Xenopus tropicalis: one gene and its partner. The protein of the gene in region 2 interacts with the protein of the main gene of each other region in a biochemical or structural test. Links are inferred from orthologs where the notes say so. Each region holds a gene or a part of one and is shown on either strand. Other genes may lie near its edges.

Region 1 (6,742 bases), on a different chromosome or scaffold from region 2:
GGCACTAATCCGATTAACAATAAAAAATAAAAACCCATTTGCCGAGCTATTGCGAAGGTCTCTCAAACAGCTTTATATAACAAAATAGGGCTTAATAATCCTCCTATACTGTAAGCCAAAATGGCCGCCTCTTAAAGAGACAGCGAATCATTTATCTATGGCCAGACATGTGCACGTAACCAACCCTTATTCCCGATGACAAACGTGAAAGCAATGGGATGGCGAATAGCAGAAAGGGAAGGGAATGACTGAATTCTACAAGTCTGGTTGATGAAGGTGTTTAACCCTTCGATATCCCCATCACGACACGTCGTTTCCCATGATGCCAAAGCGCAAGATTTGAGAGAAGCGTCCTCCCTTCCACCGCCGTGGAACCCAATGTACGTGTATGGCTGGGCCTACGCCTCTCTAAAGGAACAGCCAATTGGAAAAAGGTCAATGTGCCATGCAGTGCCAATCAGAAACGGATCCTTATCAGCTTCTGAATCTAAATGTTCCCATGCAAAACAAAGGGAAAGTAATGTATCTATAATCTCTCTATATTTATATATATATATATGGGCACGTTCCTAGACGTAGCACGGGGGGGCGCTGTAGGAAAGGTTACAGATCTCTATTATATAGCTGTGTTGGATTTGGTAAAGCATCGTAGCGATTCAGAAAGGCATTTATATCGTCAGATCATTGAGATTTTTTTTTTTTTGTCGTTTTAAATTATTCTACAAAAAAAAAAGGCATCCAGTCAGATCAAAGGAAAAAAAATAAAAATAAAATCGACTCCTAACGAGATCCTTTTCTCCCAAATATTGCCCTGTGTTCACTCTTGAATGTTCCCAATACAGCGACACCAGTTCCTTATGGAAATATCAAATATAGGAAGACGAACCTGAGTTACACTTGCAGCACAAACCGCTAGGACTTCCTCAGTCTTTACATAATGACCCCCGCACTCCTCTCATTTTAAAATGATATTTTTTTTGTCGTTGTTGTTGAATTTATGTGCAATAACATGATTTTTTCTTTTTTTCTCGCCCCCTTTTGAAAGGAAAAAAATCACCGTTTCTGCATAATGGTGACTGTGACTTTAAGACGGTTTCCCCGCGGCTCTCGAAGCTCAGGGAAATAGCAGAAACCCCCCAAGTGTCAAATCTCGTACATCCCAAGAGAAGTCTCGGGTGGGTGTTGGTGTGCGGCTCCCCAGGTGCAGGACCTCTGTGAATCTCTGTAGGAAACGTGAAGCATTTCTTCTATCCAGGACAAGGGAACAGATCTCCTCCCTCATTGGTTTCTCTATGCGTTGTTTGATTTCCCAAGTTCTTGTCTTATGGCTGCCGAGAAACGAGAAGCCACAGTCACATAATATAATATTATATACAGACCAAAGCTGCCAAGTGCCCTTAATTTAGGGGTGAAGACACACAGAGCTACTTAGTAGCAGCTACTTTTTAACGGCTACTAAACGCCAGAAAATCCCCTGCCATAGACAATACTGGGAATTGCCTCTGCTAAAACACACGTAGAGACAATTATCAGTAAATGATCAGCACTGACTATTTCAGTAGCTGCTATAAGTAGTTCACTCTAAGGGCAAAGACACATGGGGTGATTAGTCACTGCAACTTTCCTGCCATAGGCTACTATATAAGCCGTGGCTATTAATTACATGTGGTTTTCGCTGTGTGGATTAGTCACTGCGACTTTTTAAAAAAACATGGCTACGAATTGCCGCATGTGTCTTTACCTTAGGGCCGTGACAGACGGGGAGATTAATCGCGGGCAATATAGCATCCCACAGGCTATATATAATGTAAATTGCAGGTGGGATGGTATACGCGGTGCCGCGATCGCCGAAGTTGCCTCAAGAGGAAACGTTGGAGATTTTGGCGCTGCGTGTGCGATTCCACCGGCGATTTACATTCTTGCTGGTGGGATGGCATTTCGGTAGCAGCTACTTGTCACGGCTACTAAATCCCAGGAAACCCCCTGCCACAGACAGTACTGAGAATTCCCTCTGCTAAACTCACGTAGGGGCAATTATCAGTAAATGATCAGCAGTTGTCTGTTTCTGTAGCTGCTACTAAGTAGCTCTGTGTGTCTTCACCCTAAGGGTCACTCCTATTGTTGCCCTTTCGGAGCGGATTGTCACCCGCGATAGCAGAGATCTATCACAGGCGACTCAACTGCTCTGTGGGTTCTTATCCTTAGTTGCTGTGACTTTTTAAAAGGTCCTGGCTACTAATCGCCCCATGTGTCTTGGCCCTAAAGGGACCCTGGTAGTGTTGTCCAGGTTGACCCTAACCCGCCCGCTCCCAGCCTGAGCCCAACCCGGCAGGTACCCTGTATTTATAGATCAGCGCTCAACCCGTCCACCTCGGATGTCACAAAAGGGGCGGGGCAAGTAATTCATCTGCCATTAATCTGATTACACTCACCATCAATAAGTTCTTCTTTAAGTTTTGTTAGTTCTTTTCTCATTTCTTCTAATATATCCTACAGTGCAAAGAGAAAAACAGTTACTAAACATGACTCCTGCCCCCCAGCGCTTCCATTATTTACCTGTGTTATTGGGACTTACCCCCCCCCCCACACAATGCATCAAATACATATGGCTGATAATAAGCAACAAAATTCCCCCCAATATAACAGCCCCCCCATTCCAAAGACCTGATAGGGGGGTGGCCATATACAGTGCAATCCGCTTGTTTGGGGACCCTGCCAAACATTTCTCACGATATACCCAATATTGGGCTGATTCTATTGTTTTGTCCTATGGAATTAAACTGGGCGCCATCGGACTGCACCAATGAGCCGACGCGGTCCCCAATCCGAGAGAAAATCAATCCTGCCTGATCGAGATGCGCCCAATATCAGTTGGTAGGCCGGTCGTGATTACCCATACATAGGCAGATAAACTGCCGAGTCTGAAGGTAGCTTAAATCTGCCCCCGTACGGCCACCTTAACCCTTTGTATGTTCTAGCTGTGCAAATACTGCCATCTAGCAGCTCCACTGTGCAGTTACACTTCCATTTCCTGGCTGTTCCCATAAACACAAGGAATTCTGGCAACTAATCCCAAAAAGCTCTTTGGCATTACTTCCCAGAACTCCTTGTGTTTATTTGCATACGTATGAGGCAGTCTCCTCAACCCTAATGATTTATTTCTGGATGTTTCCAGTTAATGCAGCTTTGTTTAAAGCTTAACCCCCCCTCTCAAATAAAAGCCCCACCACAATCCAAACTGCCCATGAATGTGATTCTGTACCTGCTTCAATCTGTCATAGTCTAATGTTTCTGACTGTACTCCATTGGCACTTGGCTGCCCAGATGGTGTAGACTTTGGTCTGGAAAAGTAAAAAGGACAAGTATAAACGGGTGCAGATAATAAAGGGCTCTAAGTACATGGTTAGGGGGGGATTCTGACCAAACGATGGGAATAAATAACTAAAGCGAGCGGGATACCTAGAGATAACCGGCGACTTGCTGCCATTTATTGTGTTCGTCCTTTCCCAAGGTTTCCTAGTTGGTTCTGCACAGAAACATAAACAGCAGCTCTGTTACATTCAATGAATATACGTTAACATTTTATAACTTAATTATAAAGAATATAATGCTCTGTTATTTACTGTTACATTAGGGGCTCTGATTTCATATACTGTATTTATGCTTTGTACAGGTTCAGTGGTTCCTTTGCTCTGCCGCCTCAGCAGCTCGGTTAGACAAGCAAGGTTAGTAATGAGATAAGGGCTACCTGAATCTATGGACGGAATGTTATAAAAGGTCAGGGAAGCAACACAAGCATTTAGGGTGAAGACACACTGCGCTACTAGTAGCAGCTACTTTTTCATGGCTACTAAACACCAGAAAATCCCCTGCCATAGACAATACTGAGAATTGCCTCTGCTAAAACACACGTAGAGACAGTTATCCGTAAATTATCAGCATTGTCTATTTTAGTAGCCGTGACAAGTAGCTGCTACTAGTAGCTCCGTGTGTCTTCACCCTTAAAAGTTCCTGGGATGCCTAATATGGACTGTGATTGGCTATTTGGCAGTCCCTATGTGGACCAACAGCCTGCAGGGGGCTCTGTTTGCTACACAATGTCCTTATGCCTCCAAGCCATGAATTCAAAAATAACTCCCTGCTTTGGGGACACTGAGAGCAACATCCATGGGGTTCGGGAGCAGCATGTTGCCCCTGAGTCACTGGTGGGGGGCATATCGGTCCCCTTGGGCCAGTACCTAGAGCGGCAGTGTAGATCTGAGAATCTCATTTACATTGACTCTGGTGTTTATAACAAAACCCTTATGTGAATTATCTGTAATTGCTCTGTGAGCAAACTAATGACTGGTCCCCCAGGGTTCCTGAGGCTACTCACCGGGAGTGCTGGCCGAGGGGGCCTTGCTAGGTACAGACTCAGGTGCTTCCTCCTGTTAATAACAAGATGCAGGTATTATTATTATTATTATTCAGTGCAAATGTGTTGGAAGGAAAGGCGTTTTACATGGTTGCACTGGGGGCACAGTGTATGTATAGGCTCCAGTAATGCATTTGTTTCTATAAGTATGCACGGTGGGAAAGGGCAATTCTCAAGCCCTTTCATTTCTATGTAAGCACAACATTGCTGGAATACTTATCCTATAGGCCCATAGTATTACTGGGAAAGTCATACCATTCTGTGTGCCCATAGTATTACTGGGAAAGTCATACCATTCTGTGTGCCCATAGTATTACTGGGAAAGTCATACCATTCTGTGTGCCCATAGTATTACTGGGAAAGTCATACCATTCTGTGTGCCCATAGTATTACTGGGAAAGTCATACCATTCTGTGTGCCCATAGTATTACTGGGAAAGTCATACCATTCTGTGTGCCCATAGTATTACTGGGAAAGTCATACCATTCTGTGTGCCCATAGTATTACTGGGAAAGTCATACCATTCTGTGTGCCCATAGTATTACTGGGAAAGTCATACCATTCTGTGTGCCCATAGTATTACTGGGAAAGTCATACCATTCCGTGTGCCCATAGTATTACTGGGAAAGTCATACCATTCCGTGTGCCCATAGTATTACTGGGAAAGTCATACCATTCCGTGTGCCCATAGTATTACTGGGAAAGTCATACCATTCAGTGTGCCCATAGTATTACTGGGAAAGTCATACCATTCTGTGTGCCCATAGTATTACTGGGAAAGTCATACCATTCCGTGTGCCCATAGTATTACTGGGAAAGTCATACCATTCAGTGTGCCCATAGTATTACTGGGAAAGTCATACCATTCTGTGTGCCCATAGTATTACTGGGAAAGTCATACCATTCAGTGTGCCCATAGTATTACTGGGAAAGTCATACCATTCTGTGTGCCCATAGTATTACTGGGAAAGTCATACCATTCAGTGTGCCCATAGTATTACTGGGAAAGTCATACCATTCCGTGTGCCCATAGTATTACTGGGAAAGTCATACCATTCAGTGTGCCCATAGTATTACTGGGAAAGTCATACCATTCTGTGTGCCCATAGTATTACTGGGAAAGTCATACCATTCTGTGTGCCCATAGTATTACTGGGAAAGTCATACCATTCCGTGTGCCCATAGTATTACTGGGAAAGTCATACCATTCTGTGTGCCCATAGTATTACTGGGAAAGTCATACCATTCAGTGTGCCCATAGTATTACTGGGAAAGTCATACCATTCTGTGTGCCCATAGTATTACTGGGAAAGTCATACCATTCAGTGTGCCCATAGTATTACTGGGAAAGTCATACCATTCTGTGTGCCCATAGTATTACTGGGAAAGTCATACCATTCAGTGTGCCCATAGTATTACTGGGAAAGTCATACCATTCTGTGTGCCCATAGTATTACTGGGAAAGTCATACCATTCTGTGTGCCCATAGTATTACTGGGAAAGTCATACCATTCTGTGTGCCCATAGTATTACTGGGAAAGTCATACCATTCCGTGTGCCCATAGTATTACTGGGAAAGTCATACCATTCTGTGTGCCCATAGTATTACTGGGAAAGTCATACCATTCAGTGTGCCCATAGTATTACTGGGAAAGTCATACCATTCTGTGTGCCCATAGTATTACTGGGAAAGTCATACCATTACCAAGTATATGTGTATATGTATATATAAATACTCACAGCTTTGTCTTCCTTTGGATCAGCTTCTACTGTTGGTACTTTTTCTGCTATTCGCCTCCTTTTGGGAGAAAGACAAAAACAAGGGGTTAAGCCATTATCCTCCCTGCACAGGGTCCAATAACCGCTCTAGGCCAAGCATCAGGCCTAACCTTCTGGCTAGCAGGGCACTCATCTCCTCCATCAGCCCCCCACCTCCCATTGGGAGCGGCCCATTCCCACGGCTCGGTTCTGGTTTAGCAGCAGCAGCAGCAGCAGCGGAGCTGGTTCCAGTGGCACTTACAGCCCCCTGAGGGGAGGAATCTTCATTCTGAATACAGGAGAGGGGGGGGGGGGGGTAGGAAAAGTCAGAACATCAGTGTGCAGTGAAAGGGTTAATGTAAGCAGCAGGCAGGAGAAGATGCTGTATAAAAACACCATATCCCTCCCTCCCCTGTACTAAGCACAATTCAGCAGGAACAGCCCCCTAAGTTTGCTCATAGCCTGTACAGAGAGATACCATAAAACTATGGCACATAGGGATTCCCCTGTACTAAGCACAATTCAGCAGGAACAGCCCCCTAAGTTTGCTCATAGCCTGTACAGAGAGAT
Region 2 (8,712 bases):
TTCACAGCTACGAAATGCAAAAAATACCGTGCCACAGACAATATTGAGAATTGCCTCTGCTAAAACACGTTGAGACTGTTATCAGTAAATGATCAGCATTGTCTATTTTAGTAGCCACTTCAAGTTGCTGGCACTAGTAGTTCCATGTGTCTTCGCCCTAAGGGCAGTGACACACGGCGAAATTAGTTGTCGCGCGACAAATATTCGTTGTCGCGGGCAACTATTCTCCCCGCAATGCCATCCCACTGACTAGAATGTAAATTGCTGGTGGGATGGCATACGCGGCGCCACGATTTGCCGACGTCGCCCGAAGTTTCCTCTCAAGGCAACTTTGGCAAATCACAGCACCGTGTATGCCATCCCAACAGCAATTTACATTGTAGCCGGAAGGGATGGCATTGTGGGGAGATTAGTCGCCCGCGACAATGAAGATTTGTTGCTAAATCTGATTATTTAGGGCAGTGGTACACGGTAGATTAATTGCCCAACGCAACAAATTTTGTTGTCGCAAGCGACTAATCTCCCCGCAATTCCATCCCACCGTCTAGAATGTAAATCAGCAGTGGTATGGCATATGCGTTGCTTCGATGTCTCGCAGTCGCCCGAAGTTGTCTTGAGAGGAAGAGTTGTCATAAAAACAAATTTACTACCAAATAAAGCCCCCTGTAAGCTGACAGTGTGCATAGAGGCTGCCTAATAGCCAATCTTAGCCCTTATTTGGCACCTCCATGAACATTATGATGCTTGTGTTGCTCTCCAAGTCATTTTATATTTGACTGGATGTTCGGTTGGATGTGGCCATTGTGTGACTTGCACCCAACATCAAGGTCATTATCTGAAAGGTGCTGATTAAAAATTGTTGTGAGTATTAGTGTGACAGTTGCAGTCACCCTAAATGACAACCAAATATTTAAAGCCAGAGAGTAGCAGAAAGTGGTCTGTGAATAACAGCTATACGTACAGGAAGAAGTAAAAAAGGGAAAAGATTGCGGAAGGTATAGGGCAATTGTTTGAAGTAGCAATTAGAAAAGAGGAAAATGCCTAGTCTCCCCCGCAGCCAGTGGGATGTGAGAGAAAGAAAAGCCATCATGAGAGAGCACAGGTTTATTGGCATTTTTTATCATGAGAAGGACACACATTCTGTCAAATAACAAAACAAATCAATATAGCACAAGAGAGGGGAGATAGGAAGCAAGTTGGATTCTAAATAAGATTATTGGGCAGAGGTGTAAATGGCTTGAACAAAGGCAAAGTACTGAGAGGATGAAAGCAAATGTGGCAGGAACAAAGATTTGGGTGGATATCACCATTATTAAAATCAAGAGAGGAAGTGGGCACAAGATCTGAAATGGCTGTGCTTCTCTAAAGCAGCAGTAGATGGAGAAGTAAGATTTTGTAAAAAGCCAACATTTTGGAAAATTCATGGAAAAGATTGTTTGGTGGGCAGGCAGGGTAAGATTAACATAAATGGACATAAATTAACACAGATCTATCAGATGTGAACAGTAACACCAAAAAATAAAAGTAATTAAAATATAGTTTACTGTTGTGCTGCACTGTTAATAGTCCTGTGTGTACTGGTGGGGATGCAGGGCAATTAGGCAGATATTAGTCGCCCGCGACTAATCTCTCTGTGTGCCACTGCCCTTAGGGATTAACATTGCTGAAGCACACAGATGTCAACTACTCCCCATGTCACACAAGTAATAATCTAGTCTTGGTGTAAAACTGAATTCCTCTTCACTCTCAGCACCCAAAATGTCACACCCTTTAAAGAAATTATAGTGGAATAGCCTGATGAATGCTTGTCAGGTGATTTAGATGCATCTCTGGGGGTGTTGCATGAAGCTTTGTGGCAGTGCTCTATTCATATACAGGTACCCAAGTGCCTGTGCCCAAGGTGGCAATCTAGAGAGGTAGCCCACAGGTGCCTATATATATTTATATTACGGATGCACCATATCCACTATTTTTGGATTCGGGTGAACCCCGTAAAGGATTCGGCCAATACCGAACTGAATACGAATATGGAAAGGATATGGAAGGGTTAAAGAGCCTCATAATAAATGTTCAACTTCCCTGTTTATGTGACAAAAAGTCACGTGATTTTAAGGATTTGGTTCGGCCAGGAACATGAATTCACCCAAAAAGGATTCGGCCAAATACCAAACCGAATACAAATACTAATTTACATATGGAAATTAGGATATGGAAGGATTAATGAGCGCCATAGGAAATGTTCAACTTCCGTGCTTATGTGACAAAAATTCACGTGATTTTAAGGATTTGGTTTGGCTAGGAGAATGTATTTGGCCAAATCCTGATGAAAAAAGTAGAATCTTACCCAAATCCCGAACCGAATCCTGGATTCGGTGCATCCCCTATATATATACATACCCCCCAAGTGTCCCAGTTTTTACAGCGCAACCCGCTGTCCCAGATTGTTCAATGAATGTCCCGCATTACGAAAATGCAGAACATTCATTAAACTATCCAGGCCAGCGGGATGCGCTGACTGCAGCCAAGCGCTCGGGCTCCGTCTAGTCCTGTGGCTCCTGCTTCTTATTCTGCTCCTCGTATGGCGGTGACAGGCCCTTTTATAAGTTTGCGCCCGTGCGTATGTGTGACGTCACACGTACGCACGGGCGCAACCTTATAAAAGGGCCTGTCGCTGCCATAGAAGGAGCCGCATAAGGAGCAGGAGCCACAAGAAGCAGCGTCTATGTGGGGCACTGTGTATGGGGGGCATTTACTATTGGAGGTACTCTCTATGGGGGCAATTGGGGGCTACTGTGTATGGGGGGCATTTTCTATTGGAGGTACTCTCTATGGGGGGCATTGTGTATGGGGGGAATTTTCTATTGGAGGTACTCTCTATGGGGGAAATTGGGGGCTACTGTGTATGGGGGGCAATGTGTATGGGGGCTACTGTCTATTGGGCCATTGGGGGCACAATTTTAACTATTTTAAAAATAGGGTGTGGAAATTGGGGCGTGGCCACAAAGTGGGCGTGGCCAAACAAATTTGCCGTGCTGCGCGCACCAACTCTTTTTGTCCCTCTTTTCATTTTTCAAATGTTGGGAGGTATGTATATATAGATATATATTTGCAGCTTAATCCAGAGTTAAAGCCAAGGTGGAGGGGGGGTTCTTTTCTCTTCTGTGATAGTTGAGTACGCAGACTGTGAAGGTGGTCTGGGGGCCGGTGCCTAGGGCAGCACCGAGCCCGGATAGAGCTGCTTTGTGGTAGCCTTTCCCAGGCCCCGTCCTGTGGTTGGGGGTGATGACATGACTGGTCAGGCTACAGGCCAATCAGGGAGAGACACCTTATTGTGACTGTGCTTTCAAGATGATTCAGATGGGCCAGAGAGGTTTATAATATTAGCAGCAAGTGTATTGCCTGTAATAATAATGGCCCAGCCCCAGCTGGTGTGCTACTGGCCCAGAGGCAACCCTAACCTTACCGCTAACCTTGCCCCCAGTACAGCCACACTAGCCCTGTGCCATTACCCCAAATGGTAACGTGAAATCAGGTCAGAACAGGGTTACCACCTGGCAGCTGCAAATGCCAATGTTATAAACATGAAAATCAATACGATTAGAGCAGAGCTGGTATTTATTGTCAGAAAAGGTGGCAACTCCCAGCCTGTAATATGCTAGGGTTGGCTCATCCTCATAACATGCGCTTGGCATTAAAACCCACATAACATTTGCGTGGGTGCATGTAACGGCATAGTACTTCCTATAACAAACTGTATGGCCCTCATAGCCACAAGCTTACTTAGTCATACTATAAAGCACAGAACCCTGTATTGCTACTACACAGCAGCCCCACTGTGAGGAGTTTCTACATATCCCAAAGTGCTTTGAGTGGATTTCCTGGTCACGGCGCCCACCCCACAGCAACTCCCAGAGTGCTCTGCGCAGGTTTCCTGGTGACAGCGGCGAGCTGAAGGGGCGAAGCGCTTTTGAGGGGAGGAGCCTGGGGTGAAAGCGAGGCTGGGAATCCCAGAATACCAGGCTTGAGCAGGCAGGCAGCCTGGCGGGTGTGGACTTAGCTGTTCTTCCCTCAGTGTAAAAGGAGGAAGCGATGCGCAGGGCTGGAAGATGGCTGAGCTACAGATGTTACTAGAGGAGGAGATCCCCGCCGGGAAGAAAGCTCTGATCGAGAGCTTCCACAACCTGACCCGGGTGGCCGACTACTGCGAGTCCAACTATATCCAGGTAAGCGGCGGGCTGGTCAGCACCCTGTATTCGGGCGTGTTTATGTCAGTGAAAGGGGAGGGGGGGCAGGAAGTGGGGCATCCTGAAACTCAAACATATCCAACTGGCGGCCTTGCTAGGGCTGCATATAGACAACAAGCGGCTGCCAGGGGCTCATGGGAGTTGTAGTTCGCTTACAGTTGCGGGGCTACAGATCGGAGCCCCCTTGGAGGGAGTACTTTCGGTATGGAGCCTGTGTCAGTGCTAGCGGCTGTGGGTGTATCCCGGTTCAGCCCATAGGGTGTTGCCCTTTTTTTTTTTGTTTGATTGTGAGTCACCTCCCAGAGATCTCCCCTGGGTGCTGTAAGGCAGGAGGGTTATGGAGCGAAGCCCTAGGCACATGTCTCTGGGGCTGCCCTGCTGCCATTAATATGGGGCTTTGTGTCTCCTGCCTGTCTAGACACAGCCGGGAAGCATTGCCTCTCCCTGGGAAGGACTTCAGGGAGCCTTTGTCTAGCAGCTCAACTCTAGGGTTCCTCTACCCAGGGGCTGCCTTTATAACAAAGCCCTTACACCTCTAGCCTTCTGGCTTTCCATTTATCATTATTCTTATAATATTCAATGGTGCCAGTGCAGGGATGGGGTTAGGCAGGGCCCTGTGCCCTGTATTGGGCAGTGTTTAAATGGCTGATGTGCACCCTTCTATTGTACAGCGCAGCAGTATATGCCGGCACTTCATGTTACTATTAATGATATAGATACACACAAGTAAGAACACAAGGGTGTTAGTGTCAGTCTGTCGCTTCTATGTGGCAGGAAGGGCTCTGTAGTAGTATTGTATTACAGGAACTTTCATTCTGTTGGTCAGCATTTATGAAGGTGATTTCAGGTACAGAATGGTCAGATACTCACCCTGCCTTATATCAGGGGAAATAAAGTGCTGCTCTGTATGCTGGAACCCTGCTGTCCAGGTGCCTGTTTTCTGTTGCCTTGAAATTAACCTTTACTATGGCATGGAGAGTTTTTATTTTATTTTTTTATTGTAACTTTTTATTTTTAGTTATTTTTACATTGCAAAAGACACACTGTAGTTGGCTTTGTGAAATCGCATACTTCAAGTACTTCGAAGTATACTTCGAGTATAGCAGTGCAAAGTGTATTTATGTTGTCCAGACAGTGATAGAAAAGAAAACAACAACAATATGAAAAACTGTATAAATGTAATAATAATCAGTTGGATGCACAGTAAGAGGGACAGAGGGGTGTGAGTGTGACAGATCGGTTCAAAAGAAGAACTTTTCAGAGTTTTTTAAGGGATCATGTTGGGCTGGGTGTAGGTAAAGCAGTCAGGAGGCCAGACCTTGTAGCTCTCACAGTGCCCAGACAGCCATATACTGAGCTATTGTATTCTGGAGAGTTGCTATCCCATATTCAGTGATCCTATTGGTACTAACTGTTTCTTCAGGTAGGGTTTATTCGCTGCAGTGATCTGTCTGATATGTTTGTTTTTATTTTTCTCTTCAATAAAATTTCAGTTACAAAAGAAAAAAAAAAATCAGGTAGGGATGGTGAATCCCAGGGTTTTCCACTTGGATTCTATTGGTAGTTGTGCAGCTGTAAGAATAGGATTAGCCAAAATGTGGCCGCTTCTGCGGGCATGGATAGTTTTGTGCCAAGACGATTTGTCATTTTTTTTTATTTCACAGTTCTCAGGCTGGGAATTGAGGCCGCTTGCTAGTTGCTTGGGCTTAATTACCATGGCAACCAGGTGACAGCTTGGAATTCCGAATGGAAAGTGGATATAGGGGGCATTATCAGACAGATAAGCAATAAAAATGTAATAGCAATAGATTTGTGTCATAATCCACATGTTAATGGGTTTTGGTGTCCCAGACTCCAGCCTTCTTGATCTGCTGCTGAGGAGAATAATAAATCAAATTAGTCTGAAATTATAATCATGTTACTTAGATTAGGTCCATGCTAAATGTTTATTTAAAGGGGAAGTTTAATGAAACACATCTTTTACTTTCAACAAAGTAAGAAATCACCCCCATAACTTTGGGATTGAGCATGTATGTTATGGGGGTTGTTTCTTCCTGAATACAAAGTGCCATTTATATTGCTATAAGCTAGGATTATATTATTACAGGTATGGGCTGTATTAATATCACACATTTATAAAGTGCTGACATTCTGCAAGGATGCAATATTACAAAAGGCACAAGAACTGTTCAGAAGCAACAAAGCTACTGTGGTGCATGTTGCAATTATTTGACATGTGAATAAATCCATCAGTTCTCTTTTTGAGCCAATGGGCTGCTGTGCCATAGAGCTGAATGTGAGGCTTTGCGTCAGACAGCATTGTGGAATGACAGCTGTGGCATAGCCTCTGCTTGATGCGAAAGCCTTTGCAGCTTTCTTGTAAAATGTATTTTTGGCTCAGGGATACAGTTGTATGCCATTCAGTATAGCTTAATGTTTGTAAAGAGGTAAGCTAGATAAGGGATCTTTCCATAACCTGGAGCATTAAAGGGGTTGTTCACCTTTTAAATTAACTTTTCGTGATGTAGAGAGTCCTATTCTGAAACAATTTGCAATTGGTTTTCATGTTTTTATTATTTTTGTTTTTGAAATATTTAGCTTTTTATTCAGCAACTCTTCAGTTTGGAATTTTAGCAGCTATATGGTTGCTAGGGTCCAAATTACCCTAGCAACCAGGCAGTGGTCCAAATGAAAAACTGGAATAAGAAAAGCAGTGGGTCTGAATAGAAAGATAAGCTGTAAAAAGTTACAATAATTATGAAATTGTAGCCACAAAGAGCAATAGTTTTTTGGCTTCCGGGGTCAGTGACCCCCTTTTGAAAGCTGGAAAGAGTCAGAAGAGGAAAGCATATTATTCAAAAATGATTTTGAAAAGAATTGCTAGAAGTGAAGGTGTGAAGGTGAACCACCCCTTTAAGGCCTATGTCACACCATTTTCTTCTGCCCAAAAAGGCACACTTGTGTGTTTTTGGGCAGAAATCCTCCCTGTATGGGCAACTTCCTCTCTATGAACCGATAATAACTGATGACATCACTAAGGACTGTTTATAAGGATATCATTTATAGATATTTATGGCTGATGTGTATTGAAGACCGTAATAATGCATTGAATAAAATCTTGCAGCTTAATGTGGCAGTAGATGGTCATTGCTTAGTTTATAAATGATGGCACTTTGTTAATGGTATTGACTTTAGGATGGTCTCCAGTTGCACAGATACGTGGGTAATACTGTGCCATTCACTCAGGTCAGAAGTCACATTGTTTTGGTAAGAAATGACAAGAAGAAATGGCAAAACAGTCAGGCTGGAAAAAACTGCACCTTTGTGACTTGGTATTGATTATTATAGTTTCTTCAAGAAATAAGAGTAATAGAATGAATGAGGGTCAAGGTAACTGCCTTCTACAGGATCCTGCTGCATGTGGCCATAGCCTCAGTTCAGACACATTGACAGAAACGAGATCCTCTGCACTCACCCATTAGTAATATATATAGGACATACATAAGACATTCTGTGCATTAAGCTACCAAGCAATGCCCTCCCCAGTGATTGTTTGTCCATATATTGCAATATATTCAAGCTGGCCAACTACATCAAAGTCATCCCTGGTCTGGCCAGTCCTACACTCACTTTCATCTGATTCATTAAGGCTTTTCTATAGGGGCTAAGTTTTACGTGCAACTTGCTTTCTATGGTTTTCACCTGACAGAAGCTGGAATATCTCAAATATATGTATGAGAGAAATGGCTGCTTGGCAGTGACTAGTTAACAAGACTCCCCCTGATTGAAATAACATAAGAATCCCAGGCCAGAGAAATCTAACAATATTCTGGGCCCCCAGGTAGACACAGTCCCAGACTATCCCATGGCACAGTCTGCATTTGCATGTATGCGCTTAATCTTTCCCAGGACTGGGTCATTTATATCATACTACTGACTGTATACAAGTATTCGTACTCTGTACATTCTTATATGAACGCCAATGCATTTACAGCTTTCTCCACTCTGATGGCATGTTCATCTCTCATGACTCGACTACTCATTTCTTTTGTCACTCCTTTGTTGTACCTGATAAGATGTTTAAAATAAATAAAACCTATAAAAATAAACACAAGGTTTCATTTATCAAAGGTAGTTAGATCTCAACAAAGAACTGGTTTCTCCCGCAGATCAAGATTTTTTTTAAATACTTTGCAAATTTTCTCGTTCATGTGTTCTTACTCAAGAATGGAAAACACACTAACCGTTCTGTGGCATTTTTCACATGGAAAAAAAAGTACAAGCTTGCATAAAAATTACAATCGGATCATAAAAAGAGACCTTGTGGGTCAGATTTGTAAAGGCACAATCACACAAAATTTGAATTGTTGGCAAAGCAATAATGCCGGTGTAAAAATCACTTGGGGTAATAAAAATCTGGCCCAGTCATAGTCTGGTTTAAGGGTTAGGTCACCAAAATTTTTTTGGT

What was found.
Region 1: the proteins of abi1 (region 2) and enah form a complex in vitro, tested with the Homo sapiens proteins (2 studies listed by BioGRID). The link is inferred for Xenopus tropicalis from reciprocal best matches to the Homo sapiens genes ABI1 and ENAH.

Annotation. Positions count from the first base shown.
Region 1 is NC_030681.2:8,528,373-8,535,114, reverse strand, and holds the end of enah (protein enabled homolog), read right to left. Parts: intron 6,462-6,742; coding exon 6,304-6,461; intron 6,213-6,303; coding exon 6,155-6,212; intron 4,428-6,154; coding exon 4,376-4,427; intron 3,527-4,375; coding exon 3,460-3,526; intron 3,342-3,459; coding exon 3,263-3,341; intron 2,491-3,262; coding exon 2,433-2,490; intron 1,329-2,432; coding exon 1,291-1,328; 3' UTR 1,031-1,290; downstream 1-1,030. UniProt on the Homo sapiens protein: Ena/VASP proteins are actin-associated proteins involved in a range of processes dependent on cytoskeleton remodeling and cell polarity such as axon guidance and lamellipodial and filopodial dynamics in migrating cells.
Region 2 is NC_030682.2:24,953,797-24,962,508, forward strand, and holds the start of abi1 (abl interactor 1), read left to right. Parts: upstream 1-4,015; 5' UTR 4,016-4,106; coding exon 4,107-4,223; intron 4,224-8,712. UniProt on the Homo sapiens protein: May act in negative regulation of cell growth and transformation by interacting with nonreceptor tyrosine kinases ABL1 and/or ABL2. May play a role in regulation of EGF-induced Erk pathway activation. Involved in cytoskeletal reorganization and EGFR signaling.